Linked DNA regions of Macaca fascicularis. The protein of the gene in region 1 interacts with the protein of each later gene in a pairwise test. Links are inferred from orthologs where the notes say so. Each region holds a gene or a part of one and is shown on either strand. Other genes may lie near its edges.

Region 1 (3,647 bases):
GCCATCCAGCCGCGTGGCCCTGATGGTGCTCTGTGAGACCCACCGCGCCCGCATGGTCAAACACCACTGCTGCCCGGGCTGCGGCTACTTCTGCACGGCGGTGAGTGACCAGTGGGGCAGACAGGTAGAATGCCCCATGGCAGACGGGGCCCCGGCAACCTGACCATGTCGTTTCCCTGCTCCCAGGGCACCTTCCTGGAATGCCACCCTGACTTCCGTGTGGCCCACCGCTTCCACAAGGCCTGTGTGTCTCAGCTGAATGGGATGGTCTTCTGTCCCCACTGTGGGGAGGATGCTTCTGAAGCTCAAGAAGTGACCATCCCCCGGGGTGATGGGGTGACCCCACCGGCTGGTGCTGCAGCTCCTGCACCCCCACCCCTGTCCCAGGATGCCCCCGGGAGAGCAGACACTTCTCAGCCCAGGTACTGGCCTCCCCCTTCTCTACTGTCTGTTCCCTGCCCCATCACTATTGTTCCTGGACATGAGCTCCTTCTTCCACAGCGCCCGGATGCGAGGGCATGGGGAGCCCCGGCGCCCACCCTGCGATCCCCTGGCTGACACCATCGACAGCTCAGGGCCCTCCCTGACCCTGCCCAATGGGGGCTGCCTTTCAGCCGTGGGGCTGCCACTGGGGCCAGGCCGGGAGGCCTTGGAAAAGGCCCTGGTCATCCAGGAGTCAGAGAGGTGAGTGGGGAGTTGTTCAGGCACAGTAACTGGGGCTGAGGCCAGAGGAGCAGTGTCAAGACTGATGCTGGAATCTGAGGAGCTCCCCTTCTCTCCCCACTCCCGTGCTCCCTTGGCAGGCGGAAGAAGCTCCGTTTCCACCCTCGGCAGTTGTACCTGTCCGTGAAGCAGGGCGAGCTGCAGAAGGTGATCCTGATGCTGTGTGAGTGCCACCTATTCCTTCAGCAGACCTTGACCAAGTTCCATGTATATACCAGGCACTGGGCACAGGGCCAGGAGTAGTCATGAAGGATATAGTCCTTGCCCTGAAGGACTTAGTGTGGTGGGGAAAAGACACACATAACCCGTGACGATGGGAACGGTGGTGACTCATAGGTGCTGGGTCCTGTTCTGAGTGCTTATACTTGTTAGCCTTGGCTTGCACAGGGAGGTTAGGGACGTTGCACAGTGCACAGCGGTACTGAGAAGCAAGGCAGGGTTTGAATTCAGGCAGAGCTGATGCCTTTGACTCCTTATTCTGATAAATGCCGTGGTGGAGGCAAGCCCAGAGAATGCCAGGAGGGGCCCTGACCCAACTTGGGGCTCTGAGAAGCCTTCCTGAAAGAAGTGCCACCTGCCCCCTAGCTTGCTTACCACTTGTCCCTCCCTCTCCCGGTGTGGCGGGCTCTCCCCGCAGTGGACAACCTGGACCCCAACTTCCAGAGCGACCAGCAGAGCAAGCGCACGCCCCTGCATGCAGCCGCCCAGAAGGGCTCCGTGGAGATCTGCCATGTGCTGCTGCAGGTCAGCACGGGCCCGGCCCCATGCCTCATTCACCAGGCCCTTAGGCCCCTCCCCTGCCCCATGCCTCCCTGGTGCCAGCCCTCCTGCCCCCTCACAGGCTGGAGCCAACATAAACGCAGTGGACAAACAGCAGCGGACGCCACTGATGGAGGCCGTGGTGAACAACCACCTGGAGGTGGCCCGTTACATGGTGCAGCGTGGTGGCTGTGTCTATAGCAAGGTGTGCATGCAGGCAGCAGGGCGTGGCCCCGGAGTCAGGGACCAGGTTTGGGGTGCCAGCCGGAGACTCATTTGCCCATGTCTCCCTCAGGAGGAGGACGGCTCCACCTGCCTCCACCACGCAGCCAAAATCGGGAACTTGGAGATGGTCAGTCTGCTGCTGAGCACAGGACAGGTGGACGTCAACGCCCAGGTCAGTGGCCCACCCAGCGCAGCTCCTCCGGCTCCCTGGTGCCTGGGTTCCTTGGCTCGGCCTCAGACTTTGGGCCCCCTTTCTACATCTGACCTCTGGCCCTTTCACTCTGCCTCAGGCCGCTTGTGTCTGTCCCCCTTGCTTTCTTCCTCATTTGTATTTCTCTTCATTCTTTTCTTTTTCTTGTTTCTTTCTCTTGATCAAGCTTCAGAATAATCAGTTCCTGCCTTCATCTCTGAAAGTGTCCAGTGAGGCTTTTTTAACTCTCAGGTTGTCATACATTGGATGTGTTTTCGTCATTTATTGGGATTCTTCTCAGTCTTTGAATTATTCCATCATTATCTAGGAGAAGCCCCTTCAAGAGGCCTCTGTGGCCGTGACATGACCCAGTGGCCTTTGAGAGCGTCCTGACCTTTCAGCACATTTCCTGCCCCTGACTCAGCATCCACCATTTCTCTAAGAAACTCTGCTTCCTTTATGGGAAACTTTTTTTTTCTTTTCTTTTTTTTTTTTTTTGAGATGGAGTCTTGCTCTGTTGCCCAGGCTGGAGTGCAATTGCGTGATCTTGGCTCACTGCAACCTCCACCTCCTGGGTTCAAGTGATTCTCTTGCCTCAGCCTCCTGAGTAGCTGGGATTATAGGCACCAGCCACCGTGCCCAGCTAATTTTTGTATTTTTAGTAGAGATGGATTTTCACCATATTGGCCAGGCTGATCTTGAACTCCTGACCTCATGATCCACCCACCTCGGCCTCCCAGCGTGCTGGGATTACAGGCGTGATCTGGCCACTGCGCCGGCCAGAAACATGTTTTAGAGAATAGTCTATGGACCTCGGAGTGTTTATTATTACTGGGTGGTCACTGCTTCTAGGACTTGTGAATGGGCAGACTGAGGAAATTTTTGTTTGTTTTTTGTTTTAAGAGACAGAGTCTTGCTGTGTCACCCAGGCTGAAGTACAGTAGCAATTCACAGACAGTCATAGTTCACTGCATTCTCGAAATCCTGGGCTCAAGCGACACTCCCATCTCAGTCACATGAGTAGCTGGGACTACAGGCACGCGCCTCCATGACCAGCTCCTGGCTGTATTTTTTGGAAAGAGAACAATTACTCACTTTACTTTCTCTCCGGCATCAGGCAGTAGGCACTACTAGTCCCATTTTTTAGATGAAGAAACTATGACCCAGAGACGTTAAGTGACTTACCCCGGGTCCCACAGCTCGTGAATGGTGGAGCTGGGATTCACACACACAGCCAATCTTGACCATTTGCAGCTTTGGTGAGCAGGCCCAGCCGCCCCCACCCTCACTCCCTTCCCACCCACAGGACAGTGGGGGGTGGACGCCCATCATCTGGGCTGCAGAGCACAAGCACATCGAGGTGATCCGCATGCTACTGACGCGGGGCGCCGACGTCACCCTCACTGACAACGTGAGTGAGAGTTTGGTTGAGGTAGGGCAGCCCCAGGCCCCTGAGCAAGGTGGAGGCTGGATTCAAGGGCCCAGCTGCCTGCACCTCATCTGTTCCCCTCCTATCTCCACAGGAGGAGAACATCTGCCTGCACTGGGCCTCCTTCACGGGCAGCGCCGCCATCGCCGAAGTCCTTCTGAATGCGCGCTGCGACCTCCATGCTGTCAACTACCATGGGGACACCCCCCTGCACATCGCAGCCCGGGAGAGCTACCATGACTGCGTGCTGTGAGCCCCTGCCCCGCCCTTGATGCCCCTGCCCCCACTTCTTGCAGCCTCAGACCCCACATTGGGCACCTT
Region 2 (3,722 bases), on another chromosome or scaffold:
TTCCCGCCTTGACCTCCCAAAGTGTTGGGATTACAGGCGTGAGCCACCACGGCTGGCCAACCCCATAGAATTCTGTGTCTTTCGTCAATAGGCTGGAGGCATTTAAAAACTGAGGGTGTTTTCCTGGTACACTGACATAGGATGTATCTGTTCTGAGTGTGTGTGTGTGTATGTGAGTGTGTGAGTGTGTGTATGTGTTCCCCTTAAATCATAGGGAAAGCTTGTGCTCAGCCATAGTCCATATGTTTCCTGCTTTGTTGGGAGTAAGTGGGGATTCAGGAGGCCCTTTCTCTGGGCACAATCCTGGAGATGCTTTAAGGATCATAACCACAAGAGTCTCTTACTTTTATGTGATGCCTACAGTGTACAAAGTTTATTCACAGCTGCTTCTCACAACAGCCCTATGTTTTTTGTTTTTATTTTTGTTTTTGTTTTTGTTTTTTTGAAATGGAGTCTCGCTCTGTCGCCCAGGCTGGAGTGCAGTGGCACGATCTCGGCTCACTGCAAGCTCTGCCTCCCGGGTTCACGCCATTCTCCTGCCTCAGCCTCCAGGGTAGCTGGGACTACAGGTGCCCACCACCACACTTGGCTAATTTTTTGTATTTTTAGTAGAGATGGGGTTCACCGTGTTAGCCAGGATGGTCTTGACCTCCTGACCTCGTGATCCGCCGGCCTCAGCCTCCCAAAGTGCTGGGATTATAGGCGTGAGCCACCGCGCCCGGCACAACAGCCCTATCTTGTCTTACAGAATTATAAATGATTGCTCAGGGAAATTAAGCCACCTACTTGAGGCCACTCAGCTGTTAGGGCGGAGCAGGTCTTCTCCCCTGGGTCCCAGCTCTCCTCTCTCCCCCTTGGGTTCCCAGGTTCCCCACCCTAACAGAGGGGCCCAGGAAAGATGCACACCTGTCCTGTCTCAGCAGGGCCAGGGGCTATGTCTCTCATCTCATGGCTTCGGTGGAACGAGGCCCCATCCCGACTGTCCTCCAGGAGCCCTGCTGAGATGGTGCTGGAGACACTTATGATGGAGCTGACCGGGCAGATGCGAGAGGCTGAGAGGCAGCAGCGGGAGCGCAGCACTGCGGTCAGGAAGGTCTGCACCGGTGTGGACTACAGCTGGCTGGCCAGCACACCCCGGCCCACCTATGACCTCAGCCCCAGTGAGCGGCTGCAGCTGGAGGATGTCTGCGTTAAGATCCACCCATCCTATTGTGGGCCTGCCATCCTCAGGTGAGCACTGGGATGGGGATCCCTGCTGGGCTGCAGGCTCCAGGAAAGGTGGCTGCAGTGGCAGGGGCCTGAAGCCACCAGGACTAGAGCCAGGGAGCCTGGATGACCTAGTTACCTGTTAGAAGGAGCAAGAGGGGAAAAGGAATCTGAAAGAGACCATGAAACGCTGGGCTAGGGTTGGGGGTCCAGCAGGAGGCAGGATGCAAAAGGCTGCTCCTGGAGGCGTGTGAGTTTTGATTCAAGAGAACACAATACCCTTGAGTTTTCTCTTCTCCTTGCCCAGATTGTTATTGTCCTGGATTTTAACTTACCTGGCTTCTTTTCTTTCGTCAGTTTACCTTCAATATTACCTTCTTGGAGAAGTTTTCTCAGACATTTCTCCAAAATCAGATTCTTAATTATCCTAGCTTATGTTAGCTTTCATGCTAGTCTGCCCACAGATGAGTGTGTGTGTATGTGTGTGTGTGTGTATGAGAGTGTGTGTGAGAGTGTGTGTGAGAAAGTGTGTGTGTGTATGAGAGTGTGTGTGAGAGTGTGTGTGAGAAAGTGTGTGTGTATGAGAGTGTGTGAGTGTGTGTGTATGAGAGTGTGTGTGAGAGAGTGTGTGTGTGTGTATGAGAGTGTGTGTGTGTGAGTGTGTGAGTGTGAGAGAGAGTATGTGTGTGAGAGTGTGTGTGAGAGAGTGTGTGTGAGTGTGTATGAAAGTGTGTGTGAGAGTGTGAGTGTGTGTGTGAGCGTGTGTGTGTGTGTGAGTGTGTGTGAGAGAGTGTGTGTGAGAGTGTGTGAGAGAGTGTGTGAGTGTGTGTGAGTGTGTGTGTGAGTGTGTGAGTGTGTGTATGAAAGTGCGTGTGAGAGAGTGTGTGTGTGAGTGTGTGTGAGTGTGTGTGAGTGTGTGTGTGAGAGTGTGTGTGTGTGTGTGTGTGTGAGTGTGTGTGTGTGAGTGTGTGTGAGAGAGTGTGTGTGAGAGAGTGTGTAGGAGGGGTTCAGACAGAATTCTGGGGCACTGCACATTTAGAGCTTGGGTACAACTATGTTCCTTGAATTTAAATGTGATCCTACCGAAGCTGTGACCACATGGTCCTGTCTCAGAAGAATCAGTGCTGTTCTCAAAGAAGCATCGAGTAATTTCAAAATAACTCAAGTTCTTTATCTACATTTCTCTTTGTAAAGGAATATAAATCCACAATAAAACATCTTAACATTCCTGTTAGTCTCCCAAAATCTTCCCTCACCCATCCCTTTAACTAACATGCATTTATTGTACACCTTTTTCTTTGAAATTCTCTTTAAAAACTCCTCTCCTTCAGCCCCATTCACCTTCTTCAGCCCCGTCCACACTCCTTGGTTTCTGTAGAGCTTTTATCACCCCACCCCTTTTTTCCTCCGGGTGGAGAACCTTACCCTCCCCCAGCTTTCTGAATCTGGACTGCAGAAGCCTCCCAAAGCCTATCTATTCCAGAAGCACCTGGGGACAGGGGTGGGTCATGGGGTGGAGCTGCTGAAAAGGGCACCTGGGCTGGCAAATGAAACCTCAAAAGTGAGGGGGAAGACTGAGTGCACACAGGTCATGATTGTCCTGTCTCATTTCCGGTCTCATGTCACTGCTGAGAAGTCCTGACTCTCAATCTGGTGGAGGAAACCTGGTATTAAATAGACTTGCCAGCATTAACTCGTGAGCTCTAAGCAAAGATAGCCTAGGCAGAGTAAACAGCTTGGGAAATCACACAGGGCCTTGGGAGAACCTGGGACATGTTGGGGCCACAAGTGATTCTTCCCAGCTGATGTGCAGAGTCTTCCAGGGAAGTATCAGGGGACCCCTGTGCATGGCAAACAGCGCACCTGGAAGGAATAGCACGGGGGCAGTGACATAATCAGATATAGGTTTCAGAAAGATCATGCTGGCCAGGGGGTGGAGAAGAGACAGGAGCGGCCTAGCCAGAAGGCCTCCCATCAGTAAGGCTGCCACTGCAAAGGGCTCCCCTTAATGCTGTATCATCAACAACCTTAGGTAAGTGTCAGGATCTTTACATACCTTAGTTCATTATAGCTCACAAAAAGGCAGCTGTCATCTCAGATTACAGACGAGGAGGCTAAGGCCAATGGAGGCCAGAGGTGGCAGGGCTGAGATTTGAATTTAGGATTAGTTGAATCAGTAGCAACGTGGGGTGGTTCCTGATTCGCTTCAGGAGCAGGGTGGAGTGGACTAACTGGCCACGAGGATGCACGGGCAGCCCCTCGGGGTTAGACGCCCCGGGGTGCCAGGCCCGCTGTTGTGGATGAATGGCCCCAGCGCCCTCCCCTCCCCCCCAGGTTCCGGCAGCTGCTGGCGGAGCAGGAGCCCGAGGTGCAGGAGGTGTCCCAGATTTTCCGCTCGGTGCTGCAGGAGGTTCTGGAGAGGATGAAGCAGGAAGAGGAGGCCCACAAGCTGACGCGCCAGTGGAGCCTGCGGCCCCGCGGCAGCCTGGCCACCTTCAAGACCCGCGCGCGCATCT
Region 3 (3,647 bases), on another chromosome or scaffold:
GGCACTTAGTAAGCACCGTACTTTGGTGATGAGAAATAAAATACTAATCCGGGCAACTCAGTTAATCTCCATGAGGCTGGTTTGTTTTCCTGTAGCTAAGATGACCTACCTCATGAATTTGTGGGGATGATAGAAAGGGAGAAGGGAAGGAGGCTTCCTGGCCCACACTTGCTTGGGTACAGGCTGGTGGCAAGTGTCTTGCTCATGCACCACCTGGCTTTTCTGATGGCAAGTGTTGCCCCAGGGAGCTGGGGTCACCTACCACATACAAAGCCCGGTACTAGCAAGATGTTACACAAGTCCTTCCTGAATGCATGAGTGTCTGTCTCGTTTCAGAGTTCTGCTGGAGGAGGGGTCAGCCACGGTTCCCCGACTGGCAGAAAGACTTACCGCTGAACTCATCACGCACATCCAAGTGAGCCACGTGGGTTGGGTGACAAGTGATCAATACAGCATGCCCAAGTCACTCTCTTGCTCTGGAATTGGCTAAGATGCCCCACTGTTCTGTCCAAACAAGCAAACAAGTACCCTCTGAAAACTGTCTCACTCACCGTCATAGGCTCACAGGAAGAACTTCCAAACTGGGAAGCAACAAGTACATAGTGTTAAAACAAAGGGTTGAATTGGTCAGCAGAGGTGGGGAGGGGGAAGAGAAGGAAACAAATTGTAATACCAGTTTAGCAATATAAAAAGGACTGACCACTGAGCGAGCAAGTTGTCTTTTTTCAATATGTTGTTAATACTTCCTGGTAAAAAAAATTTTTTATTGCCAGACATGGTGGCTCATGCCTGTAATCCCAGCACTTTGGGAGGCTGAGGCCGGTGGATCACCTGAGGTCAGGAGTTCAAGACCAGCCTGACCAACATAGAGAAACTCCATCTCTACTAAAAATACAAAATTAGCTGGGCATGGCGGCACATGCCTGTAATCCCAGCTACTCAGGTGGCTGAGGCAGGAGAATCACTCGAACCCGGAAGGTGGAGGTTGCAGTGAGCCGAGATCGTGCCATTGCACTCCAGCCTGGGCAACAAGAGCAAAATTCTGTCTTAAAAAAAAAAAAAAAAAAAATTCTTGTAGCCTCAAACTTCTAAGAAATAATTGGTTTGTAAGAAACAAATCCATTTTTATGGATTCTCAAAAGCAGACAACTACAGACAAGGGACTCATGACATCATCAATTATAGAAAAACTTCGGTTTGGTGGTTATTGAGAAATTGAATATTTTTAATGCTTGCCTAAACCTTCACAAATGAGGCCAAGCAACATGGGAAGATTTAGGTTTACCCTTTGAGCAAAGATTATTCCAGATCCTAGGACTTGGCCCATGCTAAATTGTGTATTAAACAAAAGCAATGACTTACTTGAGCCAGGAAGCACATACTCAAAGAAAATTTGGTTGGAAGGAGCCAGTGGTTCTCCAACTTTAAGGTATACAAGAATTACCTGGAAAGTTTGTTACAATTTAGATTCTGCTGGGCACACTGGGCATGGTGGCTTACATATGTAATCCCAGCACTTTGGGAGGCTGAGGCGGGTGGGTCACCTGAGGTCAGGAGTTCGAGGCCAGCCTGGCCAACATGGTGAAACCCGGTCTCTACTAAAAATACAAAAATTAGCCAGCGTGGTGTTGTGCACCTGTAGTCCCAGCTACTTGGGAGGCTGAGCCAGGAGAATGGCTTGAGCCCAGAAGGTGGAGGTTGCAGTGATCTGAGATCACGCCACTGCACTCCAGCCTGGGCGACAAAGTGAGGCTCCGTCTCAAAAAAAAAAAAAATTTAGATTCCTGGGTCCCAGACCCAGAGTTTCTGACTTAGATGTAAGACCTGTGGATTTGCATTTCTTCCTGGGAACAAACTTTGAGAATCACTGATTCCAGTGGAATTCATGGAATTCACTAAGTTTGCAGAAGAGGTTTCTGAAAGCTATATCCCTGTCTAATTGAGAAAAACATCTGGTTTTTGCAAAAATAAAAATGTTGTATTTTTATAACTTTTTTCAACACAAACATTTTAATTTAAAATGTATAATATTTTAAATTAATTTTTAAATGTTAAATCGACTGAATTGTAACAATGACAATTTGAAATATCAGAAGGTAATACACTTTGCCTACAGATACAAACTGTCTCCCAAAAAAGAGCCTAGGAGACCTTATCAATTTCCTGGCATAACCTGTCTTGCCTTGGCATGCTAACCCACAAACCACCTCCAAGTCCCAGGGAGCTCCCCCTGCCCAGGGGCTGTAGCATCCTCGTCCAGCAGGGCAGGACCTGGGGTCACTGCTCCCCACGGTGTCTTCACCTGCAGTGTTTATGAGCAGGGTTGGGGAGTTGGTAGGCAGGTTGCTATTGGCCACTGCTGCTCACTAGGTCTGTGAAGATAGCAAGTAATTGGATTCTCTGAGCTTTAGTTTCTTCTCTGACAAAAAACTGGCAGCAGCAGACGACAGTGTGGGGATTAAATGAGGTGTGGAGTGTGTCACCAACCCCAAGACACAGTGTTTTTCAGTTTATAACACTCACACTGTCACCAAAAATCCCATTTTACTAAGACATTGCACATTATATTCAAGTGTTCTTATTCTGGAATTACAAGGCACCAAGCCAAATCAAACAACCACCACAAAACAAAAGTAAAAACTGTCCACCACCCGATTCCTCACCACTCCAATTGCACAGCAGAATGCAAAATTCCGAGCCAAGCCGTCCAAGCTGTGGGACATGCCTGTTGCATGCAAAACTCTCTTTGGGCTCCTTGGCTGGTTTCCATCTCACTGAGATTCACAAAATAACAAAAATTCCAGATCTTCCTGCATGCTTTAAAGGGTTCCTACCCATATACCAAAGAAATATGTTGGCCAATCTCTTTTTTTTTTTTTTTTTTTTTGAGAAGGAGTCTCGCTCTGTCGCCCAGGCTGGAGTGCAGTGGCCGGATCTCAGCTCACTGCAAGCTCCGCCTCCCGGGTTCCCGCCATTCTCCTGCCTCAGCCTCCCAAGTAGCTGGGACTACAGGCGCCCACCACCTCGCCCGGCTAGTTTTTTTTTTTTGTAGTTTTAGTAGAGACGGGGTTTCACTGTGTTCGCCAGGATGGTCTCGATCTCCTGACCTCGTGATCCACCCGTCTCGGCCTCCCAAAGTGCTGGGATTACAGGCTTGAGCCACCGCGCCCGGCCTATGTTGGCCAATCTCTTAAGCCATAGTTTGATTGTTTGCAATTGTTTTCTTTAGAAATCGCTCCCGTTGTTAGAAGAACAAATAAGGGAGAGCCACCAGAAGGCGACCGAGGAGCTGCGGCGTTGCGGTGCTGACATCCCCAGCCAGGATGCCGACAAGATGTTCTTTCTGATTGAGGTGAGGACTTCCGCGGGCCTCCACGTGACACTGTGTCCTTCCCCCTCCTCACCCATGAGATGAGGCATGTGGGTGGACATCTCCTTACAACGCCGGTCCCAGTTCTTTCATATGATTTCAGCACAGACTGTTGACTTTATATCATTTTCAGAAAATCAAGATGTTTAATCAGGACATCGAAAAGTTAATAGAAGGAGAAGAAGTTGTAAGGGAGAACGAGACCCGTTTATACAACAAAATCAGAGAGGATTTTAAAAACTGGATAGGCATACTTGCAACTAATACCCAAAAAGGT

Evidence for each region.
Region 2: the proteins of EHMT2 (region 1) and RD3 interact in binary tests that used the Homo sapiens proteins (3 or more experiments, as listed by UniProt). The two-hybrid records come from large-scale screens. The link is inferred for Macaca fascicularis from reciprocal best matches to the Homo sapiens genes EHMT2 and RD3.
Region 3: the proteins of EHMT2 (region 1) and MX2 interact in binary tests that used the Homo sapiens proteins (3 or more experiments, as listed by UniProt). The two-hybrid records come from large-scale screens. The link is inferred for Macaca fascicularis from reciprocal best matches to the Homo sapiens genes EHMT2 and MX2.

Annotation. Positions count from the first base shown.
Region 1 is NC_088378.1:139,822,697-139,826,343, forward strand, and holds part of EHMT2 (histone-lysine N-methyltransferase EHMT2), read left to right. Parts: coding exon 1-100; intron 101-186; coding exon 187-422; intron 423-501; coding exon 502-684; intron 685-803; coding exon 804-886; intron 887-1,360; coding exon 1,361-1,467; intron 1,468-1,564; coding exon 1,565-1,687; intron 1,688-1,777; coding exon 1,778-1,879; intron 1,880-2,702; exon of another isoform or gene 2,703-2,960; intron 2,961-3,082; exon of another isoform or gene 3,083-3,203; coding exon 3,204-3,329; intron 3,330-3,420; coding exon 3,421-3,575; intron 3,576-3,647. UniProt on the Homo sapiens protein: Histone methyltransferase that specifically mono- and dimethylates 'Lys-9' of histone H3 (H3K9me1 and H3K9me2, respectively) in euchromatin.
Region 2 is NC_088375.1:69,288,173-69,291,894, reverse strand, and holds the start of RD3 (protein RD3), read left to right. Parts: upstream 1-833; 5' UTR 834-898; coding exon 899-1,230; intron 1,231-1,563; exon of another isoform or gene 1,564-1,696; intron 1,697-3,540; coding exon 3,541-3,722.
Region 3 is NC_088377.1:5,602,873-5,606,519, reverse strand, and holds part of MX2 (interferon-induced GTP-binding protein Mx2), read left to right. Parts: intron 1-336; coding exon 337-415; intron 416-3,229; coding exon 3,230-3,352; intron 3,353-3,503; coding exon 3,504-3,645; intron 3,646-3,647.